Lytechinus pictus: one gene and its partners. The protein of the gene in region 4 interacts with the protein of the main gene of each other region in a biochemical or structural test. Links are inferred from orthologs where the notes say so. Each region holds a gene or a part of one and is shown on either strand. Other genes may lie near its edges. The genes, in order: E3 ubiquitin-protein ligase MARCHF6-like, ubiquitin-like modifier-activating enzyme 1, ubiquitin-like modifier-activating enzyme 6 and ubiquitin-conjugating enzyme E2 G2-like.

Region 1 (7,851 bases), on a different chromosome or scaffold from region 4:
TTGTCAGAATATGAAAAGAATAAATTAAGCAATTTCAAGTTATTTCAATATTCTGAATTTTATTGAATGCTTATTTCCAATGATAATTTTGCAAATTATGCTTTAGATCTAGATCTCGTCTAAATGTTATTTTGTTGAGGTAACAATAGGGTTTGAATAGATCTAGATCTAGAGTGAACAAAACCAATGCAGAACTTCTAAACCCATGTTTTCTTTAATTTTTAAATGCATTTTGATAACCTTTATCTAATGATAAAGCATGCCGGTCCATTTCAATATTTCAAGTTTGGTTAAAAAATTGGAAAAGGGGTGGAAGAAAAATGAGAGAGAAATAATGGGAAACATACCAAAAAAAATTGTTTGGACCTAGATTACCCCGGAGAAGTTAAATCGACATCAGTTTTGGGTCGTCTTGCCAGGCAATTAGATGACCTGAAAAGTGATGCCAACCCCCAAACAAAAAATAACTTGGCACCATCCCAGATAAACTGCATCAGCGTGCAATTGAATGGAAAAAAAAATTTAAAAGGGGATATGTTAGGGTGGCTTGCTGTATCTTACTTTACATTTTCTCTATATGCCGACGGTGGCGGGCGGTGTGCAAAGAAGATCATGCCTACATAGGACATGTCTGGAAATGTCTTTCCAAGGACCAAATTGGCTTCGTGAAACAGTTGAGCGATATCACGTTCTTACGTAGAGCGGTTATACCAAACACCCTTTCATGCAACAGGCCCCTGCATTACCTCAGGCTCAGTCCTGTTTGGTCACTACCGCTACACTATGCTACACCTACCCGAACCACCAGGGCACATTCAACAGATTGACACTCCCAGTCAGTGACAAGGTGTGTCACTTTATGTTGCTGAACAAAACCAAGTCATGCAAAAACATGACCTTACATGTGATCGACTACAACTCATCTTAATACATTTTCAACCTGTTTCACTTGTTTCTATAGTATCAGTCTTAGGGACAGTGATTTTCCGTTTAAAAAAATTGCCTTTTCCGTTTCAGAAAATCTTAAATTCTGTTTCAGCATGTCAGAAAACGGAAATTCTGTTTCCCCATAGATTTTGTGTACATAAAAAATTAACGATTCGGTTTACCCATTCAGTAGCAATAACACAACACTCGCGCTGGTCAAAATTTGTATCTGCCACTGAACCAACAACGCAGTAGAATCTGCTCTAATCGGATCTATGCGGGTACACAAAATATTTTGACAAACACATTTAACATTAATACATCCTCACCTTTCACATTTTTAGCATTATTTTACGGTTGAATGAAATTTTTTCGATAATTTTGGGGTTTTTTGGACATCGTTTTGAGCAGTCAACAATTTCGTTCTATCCGCCATTTTGGATTTCAAGATCGTGCTGTTACATCTTCAAACATGGGCAGCAACACACGACCTGCATGTGAATGTTTTCGATACGGCCGATCGACCGTACCCTGCCGGCGCGGCCGGGAAGGACCGGGGCGAGGGGTACGATTGAGTGTGATGGAGTGAAGAGCAGTCACGATGTGTGGATTGTCATGATCGTAGTGAAGTGAGATCGTGTTTTGTGAGGTTTTGTGGCCATTTAATATTCGTATTTTGTTGAGATTTTGGAGTAATATATGTTGCTGTTCTGTGTATTCTGAGGAAAAATATGTTTTCCGTGATTTTCCGTTTGAAATGTCACTTTCCGTTTCAAAAGGCCATTTCCGTGAATTCCGTCCGCTTTCCGCGATCGCGGAAAATCACTGTCCCTACAGTCTCAAAATCTGTGATTTAAAAGCCAGTTGCTACTTCCTCACCATTAGACACTGCCGATTCCAAAACATCGCAAACGCAAATTGCGCATGCGTGGAGATCGTGGCTCAAGACATATATGAATATTGTGTTCCTATAGATTGGGATCATTTCGCTATTTGCATATTCATACTTATGGATTCTTCTGAATGTAGTCTTAACCCTTTGAACCCTAAATTCTTCGGGGCCGCCATGACCCGTACCCTTAATAATTTGCACGTATCAACCAACAGTATCTTCCCCTTGCTATTACCCGGACCGGGCCGGCTGAAGTTGTTAAGCTTCTCGTAGACCTAGACTACAGACAGAAATATAAACTTTAGTGTCTGTTTTGGGCTCAAAATCACTGTTCTGACTAAAGTCAGATTTATCAATAGCTTCCCCATCTAGTCAGCACATGACTCGCCGCATATTTCACCGGTGTTGGATGTGCCCTGATGGTTCGGGTAGGTGTAGCATAGTGTAGCGGTATTGAAGTGTAGTGGAGCCTACATGAACCATCACCTGAGGTACATCTGCATAGACCGATTAGGTCTATTTATGTCAGGGTTATGCTCTGCTGAGACTTCGTCTGGCTCCATGGTATCCTTTCAGTCAATACACCGATGACAGCCATTGGGCTCGTAATGGTTGAACTTCGACTGATGCTTAACTACAGGGTCTATGGAGAAAAGGCATCAGTCATTGTTTTGAGGTGCATGTGAATAGGCGCTATACTTGGAAACTATAGTAGTGCTGCAAGTTAGGCGGCATGTTCGGGTTCGGTTCGGCGTGGTTCGGCACTTTTTGTCCAAGCTTTGGGGTCTAGCAAAGTATGACTAAATAAATTACAAAATTATTTTTTAAATGACCGCCAATCCTGAGCCAACAGAACATTTTTCATAACGACGGTCTGGCATATAATGGTTATGAAAATTGTTGTTTGATTTCCTTTTTTTTTTTTTTTTTTTAATCAAAACTAGAAGTCCTTTCTTATTTTATTTTCAAATTGAATAGAATTGCCAAAGAAAAAAAATATTGAAAATGGGATAATGAGGATTGAATCAAAATTTCACATAGATATGATTATGATACATCACAATGTCATAGCAAACGCAGCCACCTTGATCGGGAAGAGTACTGATTGGGAATGTTGAAACACGAGAGGAACAACCTCCAGTCAACTGCTATTATACTGGTAAAATTAATAATTCAATGAATATGAAATGTTTTCGAAGTCCATATGTTCTTAAAAGTGGTTTAATCTGGTCAATTGATTATTTTAAAAAGATAAATTATCAGTCCATTCTTAGTCCTGAAAGATTGACGCTAAGTGACTTCAAGCACATTTCCAACACGAAAATGAGACTGTATATTTTAGTGTTGTGAAATCACTACGCGTCAACCTTTCAGGACCAAAACGGAACTGATTATTAATTTTTTTTTTTAGCAGTTGACCAGATTAAACCGCTTTTGTCTCACCTGCTTAGCAGAGCGAGACTATACGCACCGCTTTTCCGACGGCGGCGGCGTCAACATTGAAATCTTAACCCGAAATTGACAGGGCTACAATGTATATGAGATGTTTTGAGGACTGGGGGGGGGCCATAATGGCCCCCTCCCCTTCTGATCTCGGCCGCTGTTCGCGCGATCGCGCCAAAATTTGGCTCGCACATTCTTTTCCACATAAACTACAAGCCAGTACAAAAAAAAATTCTGAAAACGATTATTTTTTATAATTTGTTATAAATGAAATTTGCAAATTTATTTGTGAAAAACATTTGCATAGTTAACACTCAATTTCATTTCAAATTTTTTTTTTTTTTTCAGACTCATCTTTTAATCAAATTTAAAGGTTTCCACGAAGAAAAATTTCAAAAGTGAATTTTTTCCTTATGTATTTCTTTGTTTTTTCATCTTTTGCTTTTCATTGTTTTTTTTCAATGGAAATTATTACAGACCATTTAACAACTAAATTAAACCCTAAATATTTAAGCAGACCAATTAGAATGAAAAATAATCACCTTTTATGAATTTCATCTCCCGTATAGACTTTGTACACAAAGTATAAAAATTAGCCATTTTCGGCATGACATTGTCACGTAAAAAGTCGCGTGGCGTCGAGATGCTATACCCGTATGTCGCGAATTTGGTCTCAAAAGTTGTGCGAGACTTCAAAAAAAAAAAGTCATAAAATTTTGCGGCGTTATCTTTTTTCATTTCAGAAATATCGTGCGAAGCGTTGAGGGGGGGGGCATCATGGCCCCCCAGTCCTTTTAGGGTTTGAAATGTCATCATAACTTAGAAAGTATATGGATCTACATGTAGTTCATGAAACTTGGACATAAGGGTAATCATGTATTACTGAACATCCTTCCTGAGTTTCAGGTCACATGACCAAAGATCATTTAGGGTCAATGAACTTAGACCATGTTAGGGGAATCAATATTGAAATCTTAACCAAGGTTAAGGTTTTGAAATGTTGTCATAACTTAGAAAGTATATGGAGCTAGTGCATGAAACTTGGGTAATGGTATATCCCTGAAGATCCTGCCTGAGTTTCAGGTCACATGACCAAGCTCAAAGGTCACTTAGGGTCAAACTTTGGCCATGTTGGGGGTATTCCATATTGATTAAATTCAATCGCAGGAATCTTGATTGTTTTAATCATTCAATTGTACTTACCCTGGCGAACAATCAAATGGCAAAAAGCGATATGTGAATGTTGATTACTGGTGCTTTCACATGATTGGTGAATGAACAATTAACATAATTCCAACCTGTTTTATCATTATTGTTATTTCTATGCAGCAAAAACACTGATCATGATTGATTTCACTTAAGTTGCAAAGTTACATTTTGGTACATTTTTAACATTATAATTTTTTTCACAATCAAGAAAAAAATTTGTGCCATAGAGGGCTTTATGCTTCCAACTGGTTGCTTCTTCGGACTGCGTTGTGAGATAATTTTCTCAGTTGTGAAGAAATCTGAAAGCCACAATCAGATGAATCTCATACAGGAGTCAAGACCATTTTATGAAAATATGAACTTATTTTCTTTTCAGATGTATGTAGAGTATGCAGGTCAGAAGGTGGCCATGAGCGACCTCTATTTCATCCATGTATTTGCACTGGTAGTATTCGCTACATTCATCAAGATTGGTAGGTATTACATCAATATAGGCATGAGTTTTTGATGAGGTTCATGACCGTCCTCTATTATTTTCAATGATTGTCTTTTGAATAAATGGAAATTGGTATATGTTATAAAAGTCTTGTATATACATAGATCTGTTTTATTAAGATGAGTTTGAATTAAGAAAAAATATAATAGAAACAATCAGATAGGGAATGCAAAGATATATTTAAATCCAATATCTATGCATTGATATACACGATATATATCTATGCATTGATATCCTACATTGATTCCAGAGCCCTGGGCTACTGCAGATCCAAGCTAATTTATTGCTGTACAGTGTATTGTATTTTTTGTAGATTTTTTGTCAAGCTCAGGTTAGTTAACTTACTTAACTGCATAGTATATTAAATCTTTGCAATTTCTGAATGTTCTGCTTTTGATATTTAATGAATTTCCCATTATTTGATTGAAGATAAAATAGAATACCAATGACAGATGGAAGTATTCTGAAAATAACTAAAAGCTAGTAATAGTAGAAATAATTACCACTATCAGAATAATGTTTGATAGATCGATTACCTACTCCTTCGGTCAATAAATAAATTTGTGTGACTCCCTCCCTCCCCTTCTCCTCTCTATCCTTTCTGTGATTCCCATTCTCTTTTTACTGTATCTTTTCTCCTCCCTTTCTCAAATATTCTTATTTTCCCCCATTTAGTCTGGTGCAATGGCTAAAACACAGCAAGAAGGAATATTGTGAGCTATGCATGCACAAGTTCACTTTTGCCCCAAGTAAGTCCATGTACAGTGTTATTGTTTTAGTTTGAACTTATTGTTTATTTAATAAATAATGAAAGATAATTTCAATTATCAAAGTATGTAAATGTTAAGGTACACTCATATATGAAAATGTGATACAGAGCCAGAATATTAACTCTGGTCTTAAATTTTGGAGTATTTCAGGCTGAAAATGAGAGTTTTAGTTAATTGATTTAACTTAAAATTTAAAGAGCAAGCACTGAAATTTTCATCAAGATATAACTTTTAGAAATTCTTGAACTTAATAAAGTAATTTTTTTTAAATGTTTTGGTGAAACCATTATCTGCATGTTATCATGAATATGTGCAATAAGCAAGCTAATGATATATTATATCTCCACAATTATTATGTTATTATATGAAAATCTGTTAAACTATTTTTTTCCAAATTTTGTATTGTGCCTTCTGGATTTGGTGCATTTTAACTGATGTGACTTGATTAAAATTTAAAAATTCATATATATGTCTTGTTTTTCTTTGAAGTATACTCTCCTGACATGCCCCCTCGCTTGCCCCTCCGTGACATTGTATGGGGTCTTGTAAGGAACTTTGGTACAGCTGTACTCTGTTGGATCCACTATACCATGGTCATCTTTGCTTGGCTTGGCATTGTTCCTGTTACAGCAAGTATGTCAAGTTATCTTCCTTAATATTAAGCAAAGTTTCAATAAAATCTGTTAAATCATTGTATGTAATTTGATGTTTTTAATTATCTGAATATTTAATTATGTAGACAAGATTTTATTTTTATAATGTGCAATTATAATGATTATTCATTTTTTATTCATTCATCTGTATACTGGTATTCATTATTCAGTTATTTCTCAATAGACATGTGAGTATCCCATTATTCAGCGATGATTTATATTTCTAGCTTCAGATTACCTATTAGCATACCATTTCCCTACTTGTATAAGTCTTATCTACCTTTATCAGCCTTTCTTTCATTTGCCTTTAGGTCGTATATATGGCTGCCTCTTCAATACATCCCTCGCTCCCGTGTTGTCCTTGCCATTTGATATCTTCTCTTTGTAAGTATTCAATCCAGTGCATCAATGAGTACCTCTTGCTGCTAACATTATGTGCTATCAAGTTACATATCAAAGTCATTACAAGAAAATCAGTTCAATTCAGTTTATTTTTCTCAGCATAAAAACAACAATATGAATAGTACAAACATGACATATATCTTATCTACGGCTGACCCATAGTTCCCTCTGATAGAAGTAAATTACATTAAGATTTTTTGTGTAAGAATGTAAAGGCCTGTTGTATTCGACCAGGAAGATTCCATAGAAGCCTTGCGTTTGTATTGCATGTAACATAATCCATATGTGAATAGTGCACTCAAGGTTATTTACAGTGATGCAAAAAATATCAGGAGACATTCTCATTACATTGCAGATTTGCCTGGGTCACCACTATCATCACAAACTTAAACCTTTGTATCATTTATTTGATGTTATAAAGCTGATTGTCAATTTGAATAAACATGGCCCCAAAAATTGGTTACCAATGTGAATTTTCAAGAATCCCACAGTTATTACTTAAAGAAAAAGTCCACCCTAACAATCTTATTTGAATAAATAAAGGAAAATCAAACAAGCATAACACTGACAAGTTCATCAAACTTCGATATGAAATAAGAAAGTTATGATATTTTAAAAATTTGCTTGATTTCAAAATCATTGTGTACATCCTGGTCAGTATGCAAAGGGGGAACTGATGTCACTCACTTTTTCCTTTTGTATTATACTTGTAGTTTTAAACCAGGTTTGATTCCTCTTTGATCATGTGTATTAATTGTTATTTTGATACGTATTATGGTTCAATAAATACCTTCGTTATTGTCCAAACTTCAAATTGAAATATTCTATATATTAGATTTATTATGAAAAATGTTGAAGGGGCTATATAAGCCCCCCCCCCTCCTGCCCCTGGCTATATAAGGATAAGGCAAAAAACTAGTATTTTATTTTCGGGGGCTACCTTTCACAATCTCATGGCTAAATCTGCAACATTGCAGGCCCAGAGGAGCGGTGTAATTAACTCGGGATAATACCCAAAACATCTTGAATATCTATTTCATGGACAATTCATCTGCTTAT
Region 2 (7,224 bases), on a different chromosome or scaffold from region 4:
ATTCATTATGATGGAATAACTTGCGGCAATAAATAGCTCATGCTCTTAATCAGTGTCAATCCAATTGTTTCATTTCTTGGTAGAACATTTTTTAATAAACCCAATTTCATATAATAAAATACAAAAGAACAAGTGGGGATATGACATCATCAGCCCACCTAATGAATATTTATGAGACGTGCCTAGAACTGTTTCACTGGAATAATGCAAATCTTTAAAATTTGATAACTTCGTTATTTGTCATCCAATTTTGATCAAATTTTCAGCATTTTGCTTTGTGAATTTTACTATATTTATTGAGATATAAATATATCCAGCCTGGACCATCTCTTTAATAATTATATTACATACAAGATAGAAATCTAAAAAAAATCCTGAAGGGTTAGAGTGCCAAATTAATAGGGGTTGAATAACATGTAGCGATAAAAATGCTCCCTTCTCTCAGTATTAAAAAAATAATATCTCATTGAAATTAAACGTGGAATAATTTCCCCCTCAATAGCTCTGAATTGCATTTGTGATTGAGTGATAAAAAGGAAAAAATAAAACCCAGATAGGTTTGAATTTGTTGTGGTCCTGACCTAACTCTTGAAATCATTGCAACAGATTTTTTTAGATGAATACTTTGTAGCTAAACATGGATTTGTTCTAATGTATTTGCCCCATACTTAGCTCCTCACCTGTTCCCTGTTGCATAAAGGTTACTATTATGGCAACTTTTGCATTCAATGGTAACTTCCATCATTCCATGGAATCCTTGATTCTGATTTGCTGTTGAGCATCGTTGCCATGGTAGTTACAATTGGATGGCAAAGTTTTCATGATACTAACTTTTATGCAATGGGGCCCTGATGGTATATCAACAACTTTAGATGAGCCAATTTTATTTAAAAGAAATATGACCTGGGGTGTTTCACAATGACTTAGAATCACACTTAAAATGCCTAGTTGCGTGTGTTAGAAAAGGCATGACCGCATTGGTTAGATCATGCCAAGAGGACACGCCCTATACTGTCTATATTAATCAATAAGATTTGATTTTGATTTATTCTATTTAAACACGGTAAAAAGCCCTCGATCAGCCAATGGCTGGTTTTCAGAGAGGCCGTGCAATACACAAACAATATAAGAAAAACAAATCAATAAAAATAAGTAAAACTAAAACCTATATACAAAACCAAAGAGGGAGGATGAAAGAAAACAGAAAAACAAAATCAAAACAGAAAAAACAAGAACACAATTGTAAAAAAAAAGGATTATCAAGATTTCAGGACTTTTTCAATTTCAGATTCAAATAAATTTAGATTTGGTAAAGTGCGAATACGTTCTGTCAAGTATGGCAAGATATAGGCTGCTATTTCGTGCAAAGTCTGTTTTGGGTGTTTTAAGGTTTATTATATTGTTTGAGTTACGGAGTGTGAGGGTAGAATGTTGCTTAAGACTAATCCTATTACATATAAAATGCGGTAAAGCTTATTGAGTAACATAAATATTAATACAAGTGCTTGTTTTTTCCATCTAAGGACGATTGGTTCAGCATTCAATTTGGTGTATAATGCTGATGTGCTAAACAAGGAATCAACTTTTAGCACAATTCGAAGGGCCCTATTCTGCATCACAATATAAGACGATTGATTTTGGTTTTCCCTGCATTTCTCCAAATATTATGAACAATCATCAAAGTGGGGTAGAATAAGACATTTGTACAATGACATAGCAGTATCTTGAGATATATATGGTCTCACGCGTTTTAAACAGTATAGACTTGAAGTAATTTTGCATTTCATTTTATCAATTTGGTCATTCCACGTTATATAATATTCATTTAGTACCACACCGAGATATTTACATTTGTGCATATTACGTTTTATAGGAAAGTTGATTTAACTTGATCTGAAGATTGCGCTTTGCATATCATAATAATATGTGTCGGTATATAACTGCGACTATAAGTCATACGTATATACACCTTTGTGAAACACCCCAGGTGCTCTTAGATGGTGCAGTTGGCTGTTAAACCATCCAGGTCCAAAGTGGTTATAATATGAATACTGCTATGGTATGTCAGGCAAGCGCATAGAGACAACTGTAACCCAATTAGCCACACCTCAAAGTATTGAAAGGATCGAGGACAGCCCCCCCCCCCCCTGCTACCGGCAAGATGTCTTCTAAAAATAAGATGTGGTTTGGGTCAAGTGCACTGTCTTACCAAGAGACTCGTGCTCTAGCTAACTTTCCTGGGAGAGAGGACTTCTCAGGAACGTTCTTGTGGGAATCTTACATTTGGAACTGTCTGCTTTGGAAAGGAATTCACAACTTGCCATTGAATATATACTGCAAAGGTTTTGTAACACAGCAAACTCTTGTGGATTGAGAGAGGCGCGTTAGGTATCTAAGTAGTGAAAGCAGTGACCCAGGCAATGGAAAAAGATTATCTTATACCGAGGTTTTTTACCTGACTGCTAAATAAGCACGAATGCCTGTGAACAAGCAACCAGGGGACCAACGGCTTAAGGTCCTCTCCGAGGGACCTGGTAATGAGGATAAATGCCTTACCAAAGGGCACTAGCGCACCACTTGGGAATCGAACCCGGGTCACCGGAATCCGAAACCCCCGCTACACTCAGTTTGGTGATGCAACAACTCCTGTCCACCTCCCCCCCCCCCCCCATCCCTACGCCTTGAAGATACTCTACTAGATAGCGTATCAATTAAAAAAAAAACACTTTGAAAAAGTCCTGCCAATTCTAAAATTTACAAAAATAATGGGAGTAACTTTTTGACATATATTCTTGAGCTAGACCTATTCTGTCAGATTCCAGTATGATGATTGCCCAAATATATATTTTTTATACTTGAAATGAAATATCGTATAATTCAAACAATGAGTGAGCGAGCCGCATCATCGTCTGTCTATATAGGTCACTGAAATGTGATCAATATAAGCGAAACTATAAAATATTATATCTTTCTTATTTTACATCCGATTTTGATGAAATTTTCAGTGTGCTGCTATAGATTTTTCTCTATTTGGCTTCAAATAAAAATTTTCTGGGGTGGACTTGACTTTTAATAAAACAAATCCGTACTTGTTCATTCATGACGTCAAGTTAATGAAGGGGGAAATGAATTTCTGTATTTCTTTTATTTTTTAGGCCTGTCAGGAATTTATGTATGTTTGGCCCCTCTCGATGATGTTTCTTTTACCCCCTTTTACCACAACCGCAGGCGGACGCGGCGCCTCCGCATTTGCTTCGGACTGATAGCATTTGTCTATTAAAAGACCATGACATCAGCATTAACCTCCCCTTCAAATTAAATTCCTTTGAGCGTTTACTCATCAACGCTCAGGGGAAAGGATAGTCATATCATGTAAGTACATGTTTAACAATTGATAGCTTATTGGCCTTTATAGTTATCTCTTTTTTAATGTTCCTAGAGTATTCAAACATTTGCTTGGTCCCTATATTGATTCCGAAAAAAGATTATATCTTCGAGGCCGAATGATAATCCAGTGATGAGTTGGACCCAAGACTATAGCTGTAGATCATATCATGGGGTTCAACCATAATACTGAAAAAACAACAACAACATAGTCGGCGCTGATGAAATTCCCATATCTTATATTCTAAACCGGGACTATAAATGATACTAAATATAGGCCTCATTTATAGGCAGGCCTACTATCATTAATTCAATCGTTCCAGTGATCCCATTCTTCATCTTTTAACGTAGTACATGACATAATTATCTGTATACGAGATACGCGTAGGCCTCTACGCAAAAATATGTGTCTTCCGTATATCACTGGCAATATATTTGGGGTCTATCTCACTCCATATACTACCAAACCAAATAGATATACTGTCTTGTACACGTCGTTTAGCCTCGCTACCGAACGTTGGTCGGTCAAATTGAGAAGAAAACTCTCAGAAATGCAATTTTACCAATTGTTCTTGTCTACATACTTATCAACTTTTTAAATCAAGAGATAATTTGATTGTAATTCGAGCAAGTCCTAGACTGCATTTGGGTTGCTTTGGTAAGTATACTACATGTATGATAATTTTGTACAATACTAAAAATGTTGCAAGCCACATTTCCCTGCAGCTGGTCACGTGAGCTTGCGCCGGGTTATAATTATAACCGGTGAACAATGCACTATCCGAGAAATTGTCGCTGAGGTTGAGAGGTATGACTTTGTCTCTTTCGTTATGATTTTCGAGTAGAATATGCAATATTGGTCAGAACATTCTACAGAAAGTACTATATAGACATCATAGAATGCACATTAGCAATAACACATTATTTTTACCACTGAATCTAGCGTTATTTCTTATATGAATTACCATAACCACGTGTGATATCGCGACAAGCCGACATTCACCGACTAACGTTAGACTTCGTTCATTGCTTGATTTCGTGTACGGTGTAGAAATACTTGCTATGTCACTCAGCTCATAATGATAGTGTGTCATGCATACAGTGTGTGTATGTGTGTGAATGAAGCAGAGCTGTGTGTTGCGTGATCCGTGGATATCGATGAAAAAGTGAATTTAGTCCAACTCCGAGTCCGACCTATTCCTAACTTAAGCTATCACAGATGGTCTGAGTTTAAGACATTCTCGTATCTGTCAACATGTTAAATTGGCGAGATCAATAACAATTTCTACAAACACTCAAAAAAAAATTTGAAATGAAAATGGTACGTACAAGGGAAAAAATATTACTTTAGTTTAACTTTAAGTTAGTCTTTATTACCACTTTATTACCTTTATTACCGGATCTACTGGAAAAATGCAATTACTTTATGCTCTCTAAAATTATTACATTGATTGAAAACTATCAATAACATTGTGTAGTTTGAGGTCCATAATATATGATAATCCATTTTACAAAGACGATCTTGTCACTCGTACATAAGAAAAAAAGGTTGCTTTCTTGAAAATATCGAGTTTCGCAGGATCTGACTTCCGGGTTTTATTTTCTCTTATCATTGCTATAACAATAACATCAATTTTCTGTCTTTCCGAGCATGATTTCGAGTGCGAAAAGGTCTTTTGATGCTGAAAATATGAAACGGGTGAGCAAAATTGTATGTGTTTTTAAATTGATTTTTCGTTTGCATAATTTATGAATATTATCAATTTTTGTTCGGCCTTTATTTATCTTTTATTTCTCAGGCGACGTTTTCTTAAAGCCGACATGAATAAAGGAAGGTTTTTTTCTTTGGGCGATGGTAATTTTCTTCAAAAGTGTGTCACATATCGTTCTGAAAGTTTAAACGCAAGGCGATGTCAGACCAATGAGTCATAATTTTTCTTGAATTTGAGTGAGAATGAACTGGCATAAATAATGACCCTTTTGAAAATTTTGTTTGATATGAATAACGATACGTACCTCTAATGAATAACAAAAGTCGCATTCAACTTGTGGGTGAAATGAATGGCCCGAATTGGTCGAATGGATCAAGCTCTGTGTGTCTCTAGTGCAGTGGTCATCGGTAGAACATGTATAAGAGCTGGGGAATCTGCACGTGGCGTATGTGCCTGGTGTGCAATTACAATTCATGTGCAATCATCGTGTGAAGCCTAAGGAGACAAAGGGGGTTCGTAAGCCCCCTCTTCAAATATTTTTTTATACAGCAAATGGGTTACATCAGGGACGGAAGGGGTATTTCTCTTTCCAAATATAGTATCTTGACACCAGAAGGTGTATCCAGGATTTTACAAAGGGGGGGGGGGCACATTTTCCAGAGGAAAAATTTGACAAGCAAAAAAAATAAAGTCTTCACTTTCGAAGGGGGGGCACACTTCACACTTGTGTTTTTTCGGCATTTTTATATTACAAATTTTATTTGTGCCTCTCAAGGGGGGGGGGGGGGGGGCACGGCTGACTGTGCCCCCTGGATCTGCCATTGCTTGACACCAGAGGTTAGTTACAAGTTATAACCCCTCCCCTTTTAAATGTTTCATTTTAATGCTTGCAAGTAAAATATTTTCATGCCCCACTTAAAACTTTGGGAAGCCTGCAGCATGCCTCCTGTACATGACCAGTGGAGGATCCAAGGGGGGGGGCACATCCACCCACCCCTTGAGAGCCATTATCAAAATTTAAATGTAAAATGCTGCTTTTACATGTGTGCCCCCCTTTGAAAGTCACAGCATAATATTTTTAATAGGAATATTTTCAATATTTTTTGCTTTTCAAATTTTACCTGGACGAAATTATATGCATTTTTAGGTAAAAAAATTTTATTTTTGCTTGTCAAATTTTTCATCCAAAAAGGAAAATGTGCCCTCCCCTTGCACCTTGCACTTGCACATTCAGCCACTCTCGTGATCACATGACACACGCACACACAGCATATACACATATCATTCAGCATTGCTGGAGTCATAGAGGTACATGTATGGTGCAACTTGCAAATTAGTGTTGGGAGTAGTGAGAGCCAAAAACATTATCTCATGAATAAATTAGCATAAATATGCTCACCCCCCATTTCTCCTCCAAAGATCATGATATGGCAACAAAAATTTACAAGATGGTAGAAAAATGACATTAACTACTTGATTGTAGAGGTCAGGCCTGAGATTCTCCCGATATTTTTTCACCAACATAGGTGGTCTCTGAGATCGATGTAAATCTGGTATGAAATGAAGGGGGGTTAGGGTGTCTATTTTCAATGCCTTATTCGCAAAAATTGCTAGAAAATGAAGGGCACATTGCGCCCAAATTCACACAAAGTTATAAGTTCTGGCAACTTGCTGTCGTTACTTTTTATGAAAATTGCAGTCATGCATTCGAAAACTTGATTCTTCGACGGCTATTTGAAGTTTGATGTTGTTTGAAGTTTATCGCACACGGTCGGTATTGATCATGGGCGCTGCCATTTTGTATTACCGTACCCACCAGACCGTCGTGCGTTACAGTGGGGGAAACAGCGTGTACTCGGTGCGCGCGCGATGGCTGCATTCAATTCATGCAGGCGCTAGGATAACCCAGGGAACTTCGGCCCTTGAAACGGGCGGGAGCTCCCTGGGTTATCGCGCTAGGCGTGATTACGGTGATTTGTCAATACGGGAGTTCTTTCGTGCGAGCGAAAAAACTAGAAAAGTTTGTGAAAAATTATGGCTTTTCAACGGAAATTTCTTGATTGAGGTGAAGAGGCGAGGGTGAAAGGGATCGACACTTCAGTTCGTGAGAAATGGACTTGGAAGTGGG
Region 3 (7,714 bases), on a different chromosome or scaffold from region 4:
GATTTGAATAAAAAGAGAAAAAATCCAACAAGAATAATACTGAAAAATTAAATCAAAATCAGAAAGTTATGACATTTTTAAGTCTCGCTTTATAATTTTCACAAAACAGTTATATTCACATCTTGGACAGGTATGCAAATGAGGGGACTGATGACATCACTCACTATTTCTTTTGTATTTTATTATATGAAATATTGAATATTCCAATTATATCCCTGTTGTCCTGTGAAACAAAGTTTTGTTCCTCCCTGAACATGTGGTATTACCTTTGTTTTAACAATTTATGGTTCGATCAATTCAGTCCTTATTGTCAAATCTGTAAAAATTGAAATACATTTTATAATTCAAACAATATCATACAAAAATGGTGAATGAGGGACATCAACACTCTCATTTGCATGTCCGAGTCGTGCATATAACTGTTTTGTGAAAAATAATGGAAACTTCGTAACTTTCTCATTTTACTTCAGATTTTGATGAAATTTTCACCGTTGTGCTTGTTAGAGTTTTTCGCTATTTATAAAAATCAAAAATTTTCTGGGGTGGACTTGTCCTTTAAAAATAATATCATAAAAATGACAAAATTAGGATGTTTCTGATTCATTTTTTAAACATTGGAAAAGCATTTCTAAAAATAAGTTTTGTTAAAATATTTGAGAAGCATAATCATAATCATGACATTTCGAGAATGATGTTTTATGTTATTGTCATATTCTACCAACATTATTTTTTTCACATAATGTATAACATTATAAAAACGATGATAGTAAAATGAATTTATTTCTTAAATGATCAGATGATGTTATATCATAAATATGTATTAAAACAATATTTTCTCTCTTTTTTGAAAATACTATAAAGCAGTTTCAGTTCTGACATTCTAAGAACGTTTGATGTCATTGATATGATACTAGTATTACAACCTTTTAAAACTAGCACATCAATGATGTGGAGCTCATCCAGCATCTCGCAACGATATTTAACACAATTTTAATTTCATCCCAGTTGACGTCACTGTAGTGAATTATATTGGTGACATAAATTGAGGATATAGAATTGAAATTGATGAAGAAATTACATAGAAGCTTTTTTGTGATCTATATGAATAAATTTTATATAAATTAGCATGAATAATTTTCTAGTCAACATTTCTAAACTCTGTGTAGAACCTTGGTGAACCTCATGTAGCTCTCAGACGGAACAAAAATAATCAACAAATAAATAAGTTATTTTTTTTAGTTGAAAATATATAAATAACTTAGCATATTTCATGAGTTTCAAAATTCTGTGTTGAAATTTTGTATCACCACCTAAAGCGATCATATAAGGCAAAGAAAATTAAAATTGATCAACAAATGATGTACAGGTTTGGTGAACCTCATGCAGATCTACCAGATGGAAAAAAAAATCAAAATCGGTCAACAAATAAGAAGACGCATTTCCTGTTGATTTATGAATAAATTTCGCATAAATTAGCATAAAATTTTTCCTACTCAAAATTTCAAAATTCTGTGTAGAAATTTGGTGAACCTCATGAAGTGCTACCAAAAGGAAGCCGAAATAGGTCAACAAATAACGAAGGAGAAGCATTTTTTTGTGAATTTTGAAAAATGCGCATAAATTAGCATATTTAATGAGTTTCAAAATTCTGTGTAGAAGGTTTGAATCCCCCACCTAATGCTATCATATCAAAAGCAAACAGAATTAAAATCAGACTTGAAATGACGAAGCGGGCAGCATTTTGAAATTCAGTCAACAAATAAAGAAGAGGCATTTTCTGTGATTTATGAATTTCGCATAAGTTAGCATAAATAATTTTCTACTCCGGCCAAATTTCAAAATTTTGTGTAGAAGTTTGGTGACCTTCATGAAGCTCTACCAGATGGAAGCAAACAATTCAAAATCGGTCAACTAATTAAGAAGAAGCATTTTTTGTGAATTTTTAAAAATGCGCATAAATTAGCATATTTAATGAGTTTCAAAATTCTATGAAGAAGTTTTGAATCCCCTACCTAGTGCTATCATATAAAGCAAACAGAATTGATTCCGGACTAGAAATAGCGAAGAAGAAGCATTTTGAAACGCGGACGCCACGCCACGGCATAAGCTCATCTAGTCCTTCGGGCCGGATGAGTTAAAAATCATAGATCCCAATAACTTTATCAAAATGTCAGCAAAATACAAAAAAATGTTAAAATTATACTACTAAAAATAAGGATGTTTCTAATACATTTTAAAATATTTTTGGAAATTATATTTCAAAAATGTTTTGTTGAACGGTTGATGTTATTGTCATAATATTCTTACAACATTTTAAAATGTTTATTTTACATCAAATGTATAACCTTACAAAAATGTTAGTAGTATTATCAAGTTTCTGAAAAAATTATATTCATATCATCATAAAACATTGAAAAACATGTTAATGATACATTTAATTAACGCTTTTGAAAAATATTAGGAATTTTTTTTTTCAAGAACGTTAAGTCAAAATGATACATAAACATATAGTTTCATAACATTTATTATCACATCCAATGTACGTACATGTATATAACATTATAAAATTGTATATCTGTTTTGTTTCTCAACAATTTATGTTAAAATTATCAGGATGTTTCTAATATATTTTTTAAAGTTAACATTTTGGAAAACACTTGAAAACATTTTTCAAGAATGCTTTGTTGAGATGTTGTTAAACCATATTTCATATCGATCATTTCATTTCAAGTATTCTAACAACATTTTCAAAATGCTATTTTTACATCCAGTACATGTAGATGTCAATAAAATGTTATTGTGTTCCTATCAAAATGTTAATTCAATATGGCAAAAACAGCAAAATTATCATGTATCTACTATATTTAAGAAAATCATAACATTTTTTGTTTTGTCGAAATATTTTGATAACAAACATTCATGACTTTTTTATCATCATCATAGTCATAACATCGAACGTTTGAAAAAAAAATATTCACATTAATTATGTAACATTATAAAAACGTTAGAAAAATATCATTTTTTTTCATCAACTAACGGGGTAAAGATCTATGTAACATTTAGGAAAATATATCTGCTTGGCATCATAATATTAACGTTTATTTCATGTTTAACATCAGGGGAATATTGTTTCATTAATGTTATACAAATGTTCTTAAAAATTTATTTTGAAAGCATTTCTAGGATCTTTCATGAATGTTATTATATTAGCTGGGTATGGACATGGATGTCCACAGTATGGACATGGATGTCCATAGTATGGACATGGATGTCCATAGTATGGAATACACTGCAAACACATGCATATCAAACCATCTCCAAACCATGGAGCTATATATAGCTCCATATACAAAAACCACTGACTGCCCCTTATCATGGAGGTCAGGAGGTCATTTCATGGAAGCAACATGGTCCTGGTTTTCGTAGTCTAGTCTTATAAACTGTAATTCTTATTCCACGGATGAAATCATTGGGTAAGAGAAAAAACATTTCAATAGAACAAAATGTGAATATCAAATTATCATGGTGGTATATGTCTATTCTGTAGAACATCGGTCACATCTGTGTATTTTCATCGTCCTTTGGGGTAAACTTGTATTTGAGTGGAGGCAAAAGTTTGGTACAAGAGACTAGTCGTACCTGTAGGCCACTGGTCTGGTTTCCCCTGACCCTCCACTGCCCATTGACCACGATGGGGGTGGGGGCCAGGATCTGTTGATGCTGCCTGAGCCAGAGATGTTTACCAGCTGTTGCCTCCTTGTGACTGGTGTAGTCTACTTATTCAAACTTTGATACTTGGTTCATGGGTGGAATCATTTGGCGAGAGAGGAAGGCGCTGAATAGATATTTTTTAAGTGCATGAACACGGAGCCTTATGTTTACAGTGTAAAAAAACCCCACAACTTTGCATTTTTCACCCTGTTAGAGGTGAAGTTGTTTTGGGTAAAAATGTGTCTTGTTTGGTGTGTGAGACTAGGGCACCTGACCCCCTACCGTGTAACTTGTTTGATTGATGCCTAGCTTTTCTGGTACAGCAAAGTTTTGTACTGGACCTTGTTGGGGAGGGAAGATAAGTGGATTGGCGCTGATTAGAGATTGGGAGACATGTGCCCTCTATGTTAGCTTTGGGAAAAAGCACTTCCAAACAACAAGGTCCAATCTGGACTAGGGCAGTGGCGGACCGTGACCCAGAGGAGACAAAGCATTGGAGGGGCGCAGCATTGTTCACTTACAATACAGTGCCCCTCCAATGCTTTGTCTCCTCGGGTCACGGTCCGCCACTGCCCAGGGGGACGCGTCCCCCCCCCCCTCCCCTACTCAAAATAGTAGGGGGACACAATATCAAATGCCCCCATACTATTTTTGGTATTTTGTGATGAAAAGAAATACTTCATTAAAAATCGAAATGTATTTTGGACGAGATGACCTTACTTTTGGGATGACTTTACTTTTTTTTTTGCTTGTCAAATTTATTTTAGTCGAAATGACCTTGCATATTTGGGGTGATAACCTTTTTTTTCTTTCTTTCTTTGCTTGTCAATTTGTCCAGCCCATTGTCCCCCTACCTTTTGGGAGAGATTTCCGCCCCTGCCAAATAGGGATCTTCGCTCAAGATTATCGTCTCAGCTCAGCTAACTACCCTTAGCTCGAATATTGGCGCAGAAAATGATGTGATGTGCCCGTCTCTGCAGCGACGGTGAAGTAGGGCCTACTTTGTATCCACTCATCCAGGAACGAGGTTATATGCTTTGTATCATTTATTAATAGCTCTGAGGATGGTAAGTGTTCTTTTCGTCAGTTCTATAATTCTATGTGTAGAACCTATAACATATTTTAGATAGACTCTATGGCTAGTGCTCCAAAAATGAAGAAACAATTGCGGTATAACATAACATTTGTTCTGTGTTTTATTAGTATTGTCTTGTTCAAAGACTATTATTGGATACCCTTCCCCGTGTCGGAAATCCCCGAATCTGTAATAAGTGTAAGTTGCAAGTTTAGATGAAATAGTTGGATTAATGTTTTACTGTTATTATCTATGCATTCTGATGTTTTGTGTTATTCTAGTGTAGTTCAGTTCAGAAGTCGTAAGTAGGTCTAATGGGCCTGCATATTATAATGAATGTCGACTTATGTATTGCAATTTTAGGTCTGGTCCCGTTCGTTTCATTTCGTGTGGGGATTAAAAAGGACGCTGGGCGCGGGTTGGTCGCGGCCGCGGTCTGAAAATGAGGATTGTCATAGAAGAATATATACGAAGAAGGAGAATATGAAAATGAAAAGGAACGAATGTGGAGAAGAATATAAAATGAAGAAAAGGAGGAAGAAGAAGAAAAAAGAAGAATATAAAATGAAGAAAAGGAGGAAGAAGAAGAAAAAAGAACAAATAGTGGAAGAGCAGAGGAAAATTAAAACTAAGTAAAGGCTGCCTAAGCCTAAGGCATGCAAGGCCAAGGGAAATACTAAAAATTAAAATCTAAATATAAGGAAAGAAATATATAAAAAAGGAAGGAAAGAGATAAAAAGAATAAAGATGAGAGAGTGATAAAAACAAATGGAAGAAGAAAAAAAAATCAAATGGAAAAAAAAGATTTATGGCATTGTCAGTTTTACCAACTATATGGTAGGGAAACACTTGATCTGGAAACAAACATGATTTGTATATTCACCATCACAATACAATCCTGCTAGAGATACATTTGAAAGGCAGGGATGGTGTTATGTCATTGCAAAATCTATGTTGGTACCCATTATTTTAAACATATATTGAAGTTCTCCCTCAATCTCATCAAACCCTAAAACTCTAATTTTACCAATTTTGTGACATCTGTCTTTGTTGATTCTTTGCAACACACATTCCAAAGAAAAAAAGCTTTTATTAATATCATTATGAGAAAACATGAAATCTCATTATTTCATGATCTGCATTTTAGTTAACCTGTCTAGTTGTTTTTTAATCAACCAGAGCTCTCAAAATTTGTATTATTTTGTTTTATATTTGAAGCCCTTTTATGGTTGAAATTCAGAAATCAATTACACAACTTGTCCTTTCCTCTGTTTTTGTATTAAACTAGTTCAAGGAAATGAAGTTGGCCTTCATTTGATGTATAACTGCAGCATGGCCTGATTAAATCAAGCATTTACCTACTAGATCAAGAGAAAGTAGGAAAAAAGATTATCCTAATATTACCAGACACCATCAACCAGTGTGTTGGTTTGGCAGGCAATATTATTATAACCTTGTACATTAGATGAATTGTGGAAGTGGGAAACCTGGCAGGTGATATACTCATTAGTCTGGTCAGTTTTTGTTTTTCTCATTTCCAATGAAAAGATGACCAAATCCACAGAGCTGTCATGAAAAAACAAAACAAAGTATTATATTTGCAATAAAAATGTTATGGCATTAAGGCATTTATTTCTGATTTTTAATCAGCGTCCCCATAACGGACCATACTCCGCTCATAGTCCATGAAGAGGGTCTGTAATGCTAACTACATTTTGATATAACTCCAGTGATTTATTTATGGAGACTTTTTGATAACAGGGGGCTTTAATTTTAAATGCAATAAGAATAAAATATGCTTGCAGATGATTTTATGAAGCATAGCTTAAAAATGCTAGAATTGTTACACAGTTAACTAAAATGATGTTATTTCATTTTATTTTTACTTTGTACAGAAAGAAACTTCACCTAAACACAGTCTTGCCCCCAGCAATCTGCCAGCACCCAAGCATATCAAGATGCCTGTTAATGAAGACATAGATGACAGCTTGTACAGGTTTGTTAATCCTACTCTGTTTCTTCTGCTAATATCCAGTTATAATCAATTATTGCAAAGTTAAAGTGAAAGACAAAGTTTAAAATACATACATGTATTTTCAACTCATGAAGGGTCGAGTACAACAGAATATGAAGAGAAGATTTACTATTGAAAGACCTTTGATTTGGGAGATTATGTGATCAAGGCAAGTTTGACTTGGGCAAGGTTGACTATATTCATAATCAAAGCCTTTATCACAGCCAGTCTTGCATTTCTCTACATGTGGTCTGTGAGTGAAGCATTTTGTTAAAGTCAGTGAGTCGCATACATATATTCTCACTTTTTATATCATGCTGGCCTAGTGGCCCTCTGTTGATCAGATTAAATAATAAAATTGTCACTTTTACAAGACTTATAAGTGGGAGGCTAAGTTTAATTTTCTTTAATGTAGTACTTGATGCTCCCCCTTTTTGTCTCTTTCCTTTATAATAGCCGCCAGCGCTATGTTCTTGGAGACAGTGCCATGAAGCAGATGGCACATTCTAATGTCTTCCTCAGTGGTCTTGGTGGAATAGGCATAGAAATTGGTAAATATTCAGGTTTCCATCTTTTTCTATGAAATACATACACAAATTAATTATTATTAATAGTCAACGGTTTGTAGGTTCATTTTTGAAAACTTTTTTTCAATTTCATTCCAGTAGTAATTCAGGTCACAGTATTTAACATTACACATCTTGATTTGATTAAGATTATTCATGCATCTTGCCCTCAAACTGTCTTTTGCTCTATCTTTCCATACAGCTAAGAACATTGTCCTGGCAGGTATAAAGGTAAGGATCAGTCAAATGTTTGAATACTTTTCTTAATTTCTACTAAACATCTTGTCCCTGGTTTTCATTATAAAGCTTAATTGTAATAATTGGTGGTTTACATGATAATGTATCTAC
Region 4 (7,201 bases):
GCTTGTTAAGGGACTATCACCTTGGACGATTTAGACAGCGATATGCTGACGTTTGTATTCCATGTAGTTATCTTACTCTAAAAAAATCAATTCATCATGCTAATAATTACATTCTTATTATGGAGACATCATTTTGCTTTGTTAACGAGTATATGGTAATTACATGACTTAAAGGGTTGCCATCTTAGACATCGGCATAATTATATAGGCCTGCATGCATGCAATCTAAACGCCAATGTGGCAGCCCTTTCAGCGACGTTTAAATAGTTTGAATATATAATAGCAGGACTAATGAACTCAAAAGTTTTATATTTTTAGCAAAGTGGATGATGATAATTGGTTATAGTCTCTTGCATGCCATTATAGTTTTAATATTCAATTACACACTTTGGGATAGAGCGTTGCGGATGAACTCTGTTTGTTTATAAAATTGTCATTTCCCTTTTTGTAACATTCTGAAGTGTGTTTTTCCTATTTCAACGTTCAAGATAACGTCTAGGTTGTATTTGGGAATATTCAGTACAATTTATTGTCCGGATTAAAATACCGGACTCATGCAGTAAGAACATCCGAGACCTAGATTCATTTCTTAAAGCGGGTCATATGGCATTCATAATGGCTCTAAAATGTGTTTTTCAAAATGCCCTTGATGCTTATAAAATGTTATCCTCTTGGTTATATCAGAAGTAAAAGCTAGGATTAGAAAAATGATTTTCGGATAGAAAAACATACATGGTTTTCTGCGAATCTGTTTTTCCTTTGTAAAACACATTGCAATCATGTTCCATTTTCCTAATAAGACATCAATCAATTTTTGTCTTCATATATCCGCTTTTCTGTCCATTTTTGTACACTGAGGTTTCTCCATCTGTCATAATGTATATGGTAGGTATAGAAAAGTTAGAGTATTTTCATATTATGAAAAGTTAATCAGATGAATTGTAATGTTTAGTTTAATCTTTCCCCCTTTTGGGGAGGGGATCATTCAGGAAAATCTTCAGAGAATCCTGTGAGCTATGAATAAATAAGTTTGTTTTGATTGGACTGGATTATCATTCATAATTATGATACGTTTTAGTTAATTGATTAATGTGTTGGACATGAAAATGGACTAAAATATCATTCTAAACAAATATGATCTACTACCAAATTATTATAACGTTCACAATTTGCAGGAGGAGGATTGTCATCATAAGCAGATTGCTTGAAAAGAGTTGATAAATAGGTACGTAAGCGGAAGAAATACAAAATAAACTGAGCCTCGATAATTGCTCTTTATTTAACCAAACTTCCCTATAATCATTACATGCATGACCACGATGATATTACGATAATGTTTTAAGAAACTAAAAATACAAAGATTATCAATATGCATTTATATAGGGTAGAGACTGATGTTTATATAGGCATGGGCCTAATGACATATTTATACAGCTGAATTATATAGCTATTAGTCAAAGTCGAACTTTGGTGTAGGGCTCGATTGATTGTTTGTTTGATTGATTGATTGATTGAATAATACTGACTGATTGATTGATTGATATCATTGGTAATCTTACAATCAATATTTCTAAATGTTAAACGTTAATGTTAGTCAGACAATTATTGGAACCAAGAGCTAGTTGTCCACCGGTTAATGGGGGGGGGGGGTATAAAGGCCCGGTATATAGGGAATAGGGTACAAACTGAAACTTTTCTCTCAGGACAGGTTTTCTACACATCTCCCTTGAAAAGAATATAAATGAATGATTATAGGTATCACATTATCAAACGAATTTTGATTGTTTGATCCCTGAAAATTAAAAATGAAACTACTTGAACGTTCCCCAATACATGTACGTAAGGCCATGCACCGCATATCTTACGATTAGTTTGTGACCCGATTTTTGAATAAAAAGCAGTAGAATTTCATGATATCGAGACATGGACTTATGTTCCAAAATCATACAAATACCAATGTTCAAATCTGTGACTATGCTATCATCCTTATATTAGAATAAAAGCGAATTTGATATTTAGTCGTTATGACGTCATAGCATTCGTACGATTGGCTACGATTTGAAACTAATTTGACCTTTACTAAAAAAAAAAAAGGCTTGTAGTTATCCAAATTTGTTATAGTATTCATGCAGTTAATTTGACCCTCAAACAAAAATACTCTTTCATTCACATTTTCGGAAAATGGGCAAAATTCGATTTGTTCAAAAATTTGATCGTGGACCAATCGTGGTGTGCGTTGGCATGGAGATTGATTTATAACAGATTTTTCTTACCAATAAGGCACAAGGATTTAAACATAATTCAGGTCAGCTTGATTGAATTAAGTTTGAGTGACCAGTCGCACCTACTATGTACGTAAATTTCATTAAAAACCGTAAAGACCTTTTTTTTCGAATCTAAAATATCCAAATTCAAATCTCGAAACGGGTCTTTCAAAAAATCAATTTTTCGGCTGCAACATACCAGGATTTATCAGAAATCAAAGAAAATTATCACTCACCTGTCATGTATTCCCTATACTTTCAATCCAACGTACAGTTCAGCTCCTTACGCAAATGGATAATTAAAATGATACCAGCCAACTATTGATTGAGCTTGACACGGCTAAGGCACTAATTAGTAATAGAAACAATGTAAGCGAGTGATTTCGTTTACATGGCGTCTCATTTTGATATCCTTTATGGAGCACCCACGCGATATTATATAGCATGGTACCTTATGGTAAGATAAGAATTTACACGCATACTATAGATTTATCACGTTTCCGTGATGAACGTCATGTAGACACGATTCAAAATGCTTTGCTACCCGTAAGTGATGATAAAATTACCAACTGTAATGAGACTGGCTGTTTACACCAAAAAAAAATAGAATATGATGTACATTCAAAACAGTATCAGATGACAGTCATTGAAAAAAAAATATCAGGAACAGGAGAAATCATCAGGAAGATAGGCCTGTACCTTTGTAAGCTATTTCCCCGACTCCTTCGAAATCGAGGCACTCTGAGAAAACTTTTACCTATATGTCACTCTAGGAGTGATTTAATAAAAGATGCAAAGGGGCTCTCCTTTCTGGACGGTGTTAAACAGGGGCGGATCCAGGATTTTCCAAAGGGGGAGGGGGCACATTTCCCCAATAAAAATTTTGACAAAAAGGTCCTTATTTAAAAGGACCTTTTGGTAAAAATGGCACTTTGGTAAAAATGGCATATTCACATCATAGAGAAGGGGGACACGGGCCGGATGTGCCCCCCCCCCCCCCCCTTCCTGGATCCGCTACTGACTACAGACTTGAGATATTTATATCTCAATAAATAGAGTAAAATTCACAAAGCAAAATGCTGAAAATTTGATCAAAACTTTTTCGGATAACAAATAACGAAGTTATTTGCATTATTCCGGTGAAACAGTTCTAGGCATGTCTTCATGAATATTCATTAGGCGGACGGATGATGCCATATCCCCACTTGTTCTTTTTATTTTGGTATATGAAATTAGGTTTATTTTTTTTCTACCAAGAACTAAAACAATTGGATTGACAACTGATTAAGTGCATTACTGCAACTTATTTCATCATAATATCATTTACACATGAATGAAAAATGAAACAATTATGATTTCATGTAATAACATAAGAAAAAGGAAAGTGGGGATATGACATCATCAGCCCACCTTATGAATATTCATGACGATGTGCATATAACTGTTTTCACAAAATATTGATAAACTTTAAAATTCAATAACTTCGTTATTTGTTATCCGATTTCGATGAAATTTTTATCATTTTGATTTGTGAATTTTACTCTATTTATTTAAATTAACTATTTTCAGCCCGGACCATCCTTTTAAATAAATCTAAAATTGCTCGGCAGTAGTTTCGGTCGGCACTTTGCACATTTCACAGCAGTAAAAAAAAAGTAAATCATTTTTGTTAGAGATAATAATGGAATCAAGATCACGATATCCATGATAGAACGGATTAAAATAATTTGTGCACACTATACTTCGAATTTTCAGCTGATCCAGACCTATTATGCTAAGATTTTTTTATTTTTTCTTGTTTCTTTCTTAATTTTTTTAAGGGAGGGAAGGACATTCAAATATTATAATTTTTTTGTTATTTGGTTGATTTGCTTCAATAAAAATCTAAATATATATATAATGTCAGACCATTTATAAAATAAACTTTAATTCATTTCTGAGTGATAGAGATGATGATGGAGAGATTTGTTTTTATCTCTTTACATGTGTCAGTACTAGTTGCATCAGTTCACGAAATCGCCTCTCATTTTTGCTTTGCAAATAAATCTCTCACGGCTACCTTCCTGAAATAAACATTTGTTGGGCCTAGTTGGGTTTCATCTCCTTGGTTTGTCAATGTCAGTGCAATTGACCCGCAATTGACGTGTCAAAAAACGGGCATATTTTGAGAGAATAATTAGAACTGAATATGGCCGGAGCTGCACTGAAGAGATTAATGGCTGAATATAAACGTGGGTATAACTCATAAATTATATTTGAAGGCTTAAATTTGTATTATTTTAACTGATAACTCGATCTTTATTTATGTGTGGCATATTGCAATTATTGCGTGTGCCCCATTCGTAGATTCCCGTGTTTGTGATTCGATTGTGTCTTGATAAAGTTCTTAAGTTCGTATTTATTGTAGTCCAAGTTCATGGAAATTTTCTTTCCACCAGCATTACAAATATAAATGAAACGGCAACATGTGAGAACATACAAAAATGGTGAATAATACATGTAAAATAGACAAACAAAATTATGAAATTAGTCAAAAAATCAGAAGACAAAATTTTTGGTGGTGGTCGCCAGCTGAGCGGGGGCCCCGGGGGGGGGCACTCGACCAAAAAAGTGGTAGGGGTGTGCCACGGGCGATGCAAAAAACGGGGGCCTTGGAGCGGGTTTATTGTAAAAAGGAGGGTCCTCGGAACGGGCTTCGGAACTACAAATGTTTGTGAAAACGGGGGTCATCGGAACGGATCTCCGTATCTCTGTGAGTGCGTATGCATCCCTATGGAACGGGCAATCGTGCATGACGCAGCTAGCGCGGCCTCCGCCGGGTGCGCTCGCGCTTAGGCGATGGTCGAAAAGCGCTCTACGGCCGCTTTTCACCAAAATTGTAGCAGATCAATGCGACCGGAACGGCGTAACGAAAAATATGCGAAGCTTTGGAGCGGATTTCTTTCTTCTTTTTTCTCGATAAGAAGGAAATGCTATGCCTTGGAGCGGCTTTCTTTGTTCTTTTTCTCAATAAGACAAAAATGCTATGCCTGGGAACGGAAATTTGAGTGTAAAAATGGGGGTCCCCTCCGCGGCACATACCCACTATGCATTATATACTGAGTGCCCCCCCCCCCCCCCCCCCCCCGGGGCGGGGACATGTTTGCTCACCTGTGACCTTTAACTTAAGATTAGGGCATAATCATAAATTTCTTTGAAATTCAATTACTTTTTCACTTTACGTTTAGAATCCATTGTCATGTGATATAATAATGTCGTGAATGTATCGTGTGTGTGATGCTCTAATAATCGATTATGACATTGGATTGTAAAGTTACTCCAATTATCAACTGAAAAAGTTATAAATTTAAACTGCATGCAGACAATAAGTTATGTAGTTTAATGTTTTATTTTATGTCATGAACAGAGCTAACAGTGAACCCTCCAGAGGGTATTATAGCAGGCCCTGTCGATGAAAAAAATTTCTTCGAATGGGAGGCTCTGATTACGTGAGTATTTTCTAAAATCTATTCTTTGCTTTGTCACATAAAGTCTGCTTTCATGATTTTTACATGTATTTGATTATTTTCTTTCGCATTCAGAATATTAGTAGAATATTGTTCTATGATATAACAAACAAAAACTTGTAATGAATTATCTTGTTGACAATGAATGGTAAATGCGAACCTCTAATTATTCCCAGCTAAATTACCAAACGTACATGCAAGTATTCTGTAGTAAAAGAACTACTGTTGTTACTAAAGATTTTTAAACCATCACAACAAAAATACAATGTTATAAAGCAGGATGGGATATTGATAACATACATTTGAATATTTGGAATATGAAGAAAGATGGAGGTGATGGAGATGAGATGATTGCAGAGTTGAAACTACATGTAAATCATTGACTCACTATCGTACTTTAAATGAATCAACATTGAACTTTTTCAAAGCCATCAGGGGCAATTCCACGAATACAGAATTGGTTGGTGGGGGAATATGGGGCATTATTTTTTACCAGTATTACAAAATACTCTTCAATTATTATTATTTTTAATTAAAGGTCAAGTCCACCCAGAGTAATTTTAATTTGAATAAATAGAGAAAAATCAAACTGGCATAACGCTGAAAATTTCATCAAAATTGGATGTTAAAATAAGAAAGTTACGACATTTTAAATTTTCGCTTATATTTAAAAAAACAGTGATATGCACAATTAAGTGACATTCAAATGAGACAGTCGATGATGTCTTTCACTCACTATTTCTTTTTTTTATTGTTTGAATGATACAATATTTCATTTTATACATATTTGACAATATGGACCATCTTTGACTTAACCATATAGTATTAAACAATGCTAATTCCACATTTTCAGGGAGGAATTCAACATTGTTTTACTTGACAATGAGGAGAAAATAAGAATATTTCATATTTCATAAATACAAAGGAAGTAATGAGTGGATGACATCATCGGTCTCCTCATTTGCATACCGACCAGGAAAGTCAGCAAAACTTTAAATTATCATAACTTTCTTATTTTACATCCGATTTTGATGAAATTTTCAGTGTTATGCTCGCTAGATTTTTGTCTTTTTACTTTTGACTAGTCCTTTAATGGGCCTGCTACCACTGAGCCACCATTTTGGTTGAGGCTACATGTAGAACTCGTTTTCCTATGTTGAAAGCATATATTTTTCTCCACCGATCATATCTCCCATCATCAGGGGTCCAGAAGGTACATGCTTTGAGGGTGGTGTCTTCCAGACAGAACTGAAGTTTCCCAATGACTATCCACTCAACCCTCCTAAGATGCGATTCAAGACAGAGATGTTTCATCCAAATAGTAAGAGGCTTCAGTTTCAAGGATATCTTTGAAGATTTTGGACAATGATATGTGTCTTACTTATTTTCCTTTAGCTATCACTAATGAACCGAATCTTAAATTATGACATG

What was found.
Region 1: the proteins of ubiquitin-conjugating enzyme E2 G2-like (region 4) and E3 ubiquitin-protein ligase MARCHF6-like form a complex in vitro, tested with the Homo sapiens proteins (2 studies listed by BioGRID). The link is inferred for Lytechinus pictus from reciprocal best matches to the Homo sapiens genes UBE2G2 and MARCHF6.
Region 2: of the proteins of ubiquitin-conjugating enzyme E2 G2-like (region 4) and ubiquitin-like modifier-activating enzyme 1, one has a biochemical effect on the other in vitro, tested with the Homo sapiens proteins (5 studies listed by BioGRID, with this or other methods). The link is inferred for Lytechinus pictus from reciprocal best matches to the Homo sapiens genes UBE2G2 and UBA1.
Region 3: the proteins of ubiquitin-conjugating enzyme E2 G2-like (region 4) and ubiquitin-like modifier-activating enzyme 6 form a complex in vitro, tested with the Homo sapiens proteins (2 studies listed by BioGRID, with this or other methods). The link is inferred for Lytechinus pictus from reciprocal best matches to the Homo sapiens genes UBE2G2 and UBA6.

The regions. Positions count from the first base shown.
Region 1 is NC_087246.1:38,704,479-38,712,329, reverse strand, and holds the start of E3 ubiquitin-protein ligase MARCHF6-like, read left to right. Parts: upstream 1-4,849; 5' UTR 4,850-4,944; intron 4,945-5,642; 5' UTR 5,643-5,691; coding exon 5,692-5,716; intron 5,717-6,226; coding exon 6,227-6,370; intron 6,371-6,701; coding exon 6,702-6,774; intron 6,775-7,851. UniProt on the Homo sapiens protein: Endoplasmic reticulum membrane-associated E3 ubiquitin ligase that plays a critical role in mitigating endoplasmic reticulum stress, the regulation of cholesterol and lipid homeostasis, and ferroptosis.
Region 2 is NC_087247.1:36,375,554-36,382,777, reverse strand, and holds the start of ubiquitin-like modifier-activating enzyme 1, read left to right. Parts: upstream 1-4,211; 5' UTR 4,212-4,696; coding exon 4,697-4,705; intron 4,706-7,224. UniProt on the Homo sapiens protein: Catalyzes the first step in ubiquitin conjugation to mark cellular proteins for degradation through the ubiquitin-proteasome system.
Region 3 is NC_087249.1:23,274,982-23,282,695, reverse strand, and holds the start of ubiquitin-like modifier-activating enzyme 6, read left to right. Parts: upstream 1-4,691; 5' UTR 4,692-4,775; coding exon 4,776-4,778; intron 4,779-4,929; exon of another isoform or gene 4,930-4,984; intron 4,985-6,681; coding exon 6,682-6,782; intron 6,783-7,256; coding exon 7,257-7,351; intron 7,352-7,568; coding exon 7,569-7,597; intron 7,598-7,714. UniProt on the Homo sapiens protein: Activates ubiquitin by first adenylating its C-terminal glycine residue with ATP, and thereafter linking this residue to the side chain of a cysteine residue in E1, yielding a ubiquitin-E1 thioester and free AMP.
Region 4 is NC_087245.1:12,246,789-12,253,989, forward strand, and holds the start of ubiquitin-conjugating enzyme E2 G2-like, read left to right. Parts: upstream 1-4,191; 5' UTR 4,192-4,452; coding exon 4,453-4,495; intron 4,496-5,670; coding exon 5,671-5,752; intron 5,753-6,972; coding exon 6,973-7,091; intron 7,092-7,201. UniProt on the Homo sapiens protein: Accepts ubiquitin from the E1 complex and catalyzes its covalent attachment to other proteins. In vitro catalyzes 'Lys-48'-linked polyubiquitination. Involved in endoplasmic reticulum-associated degradation (ERAD).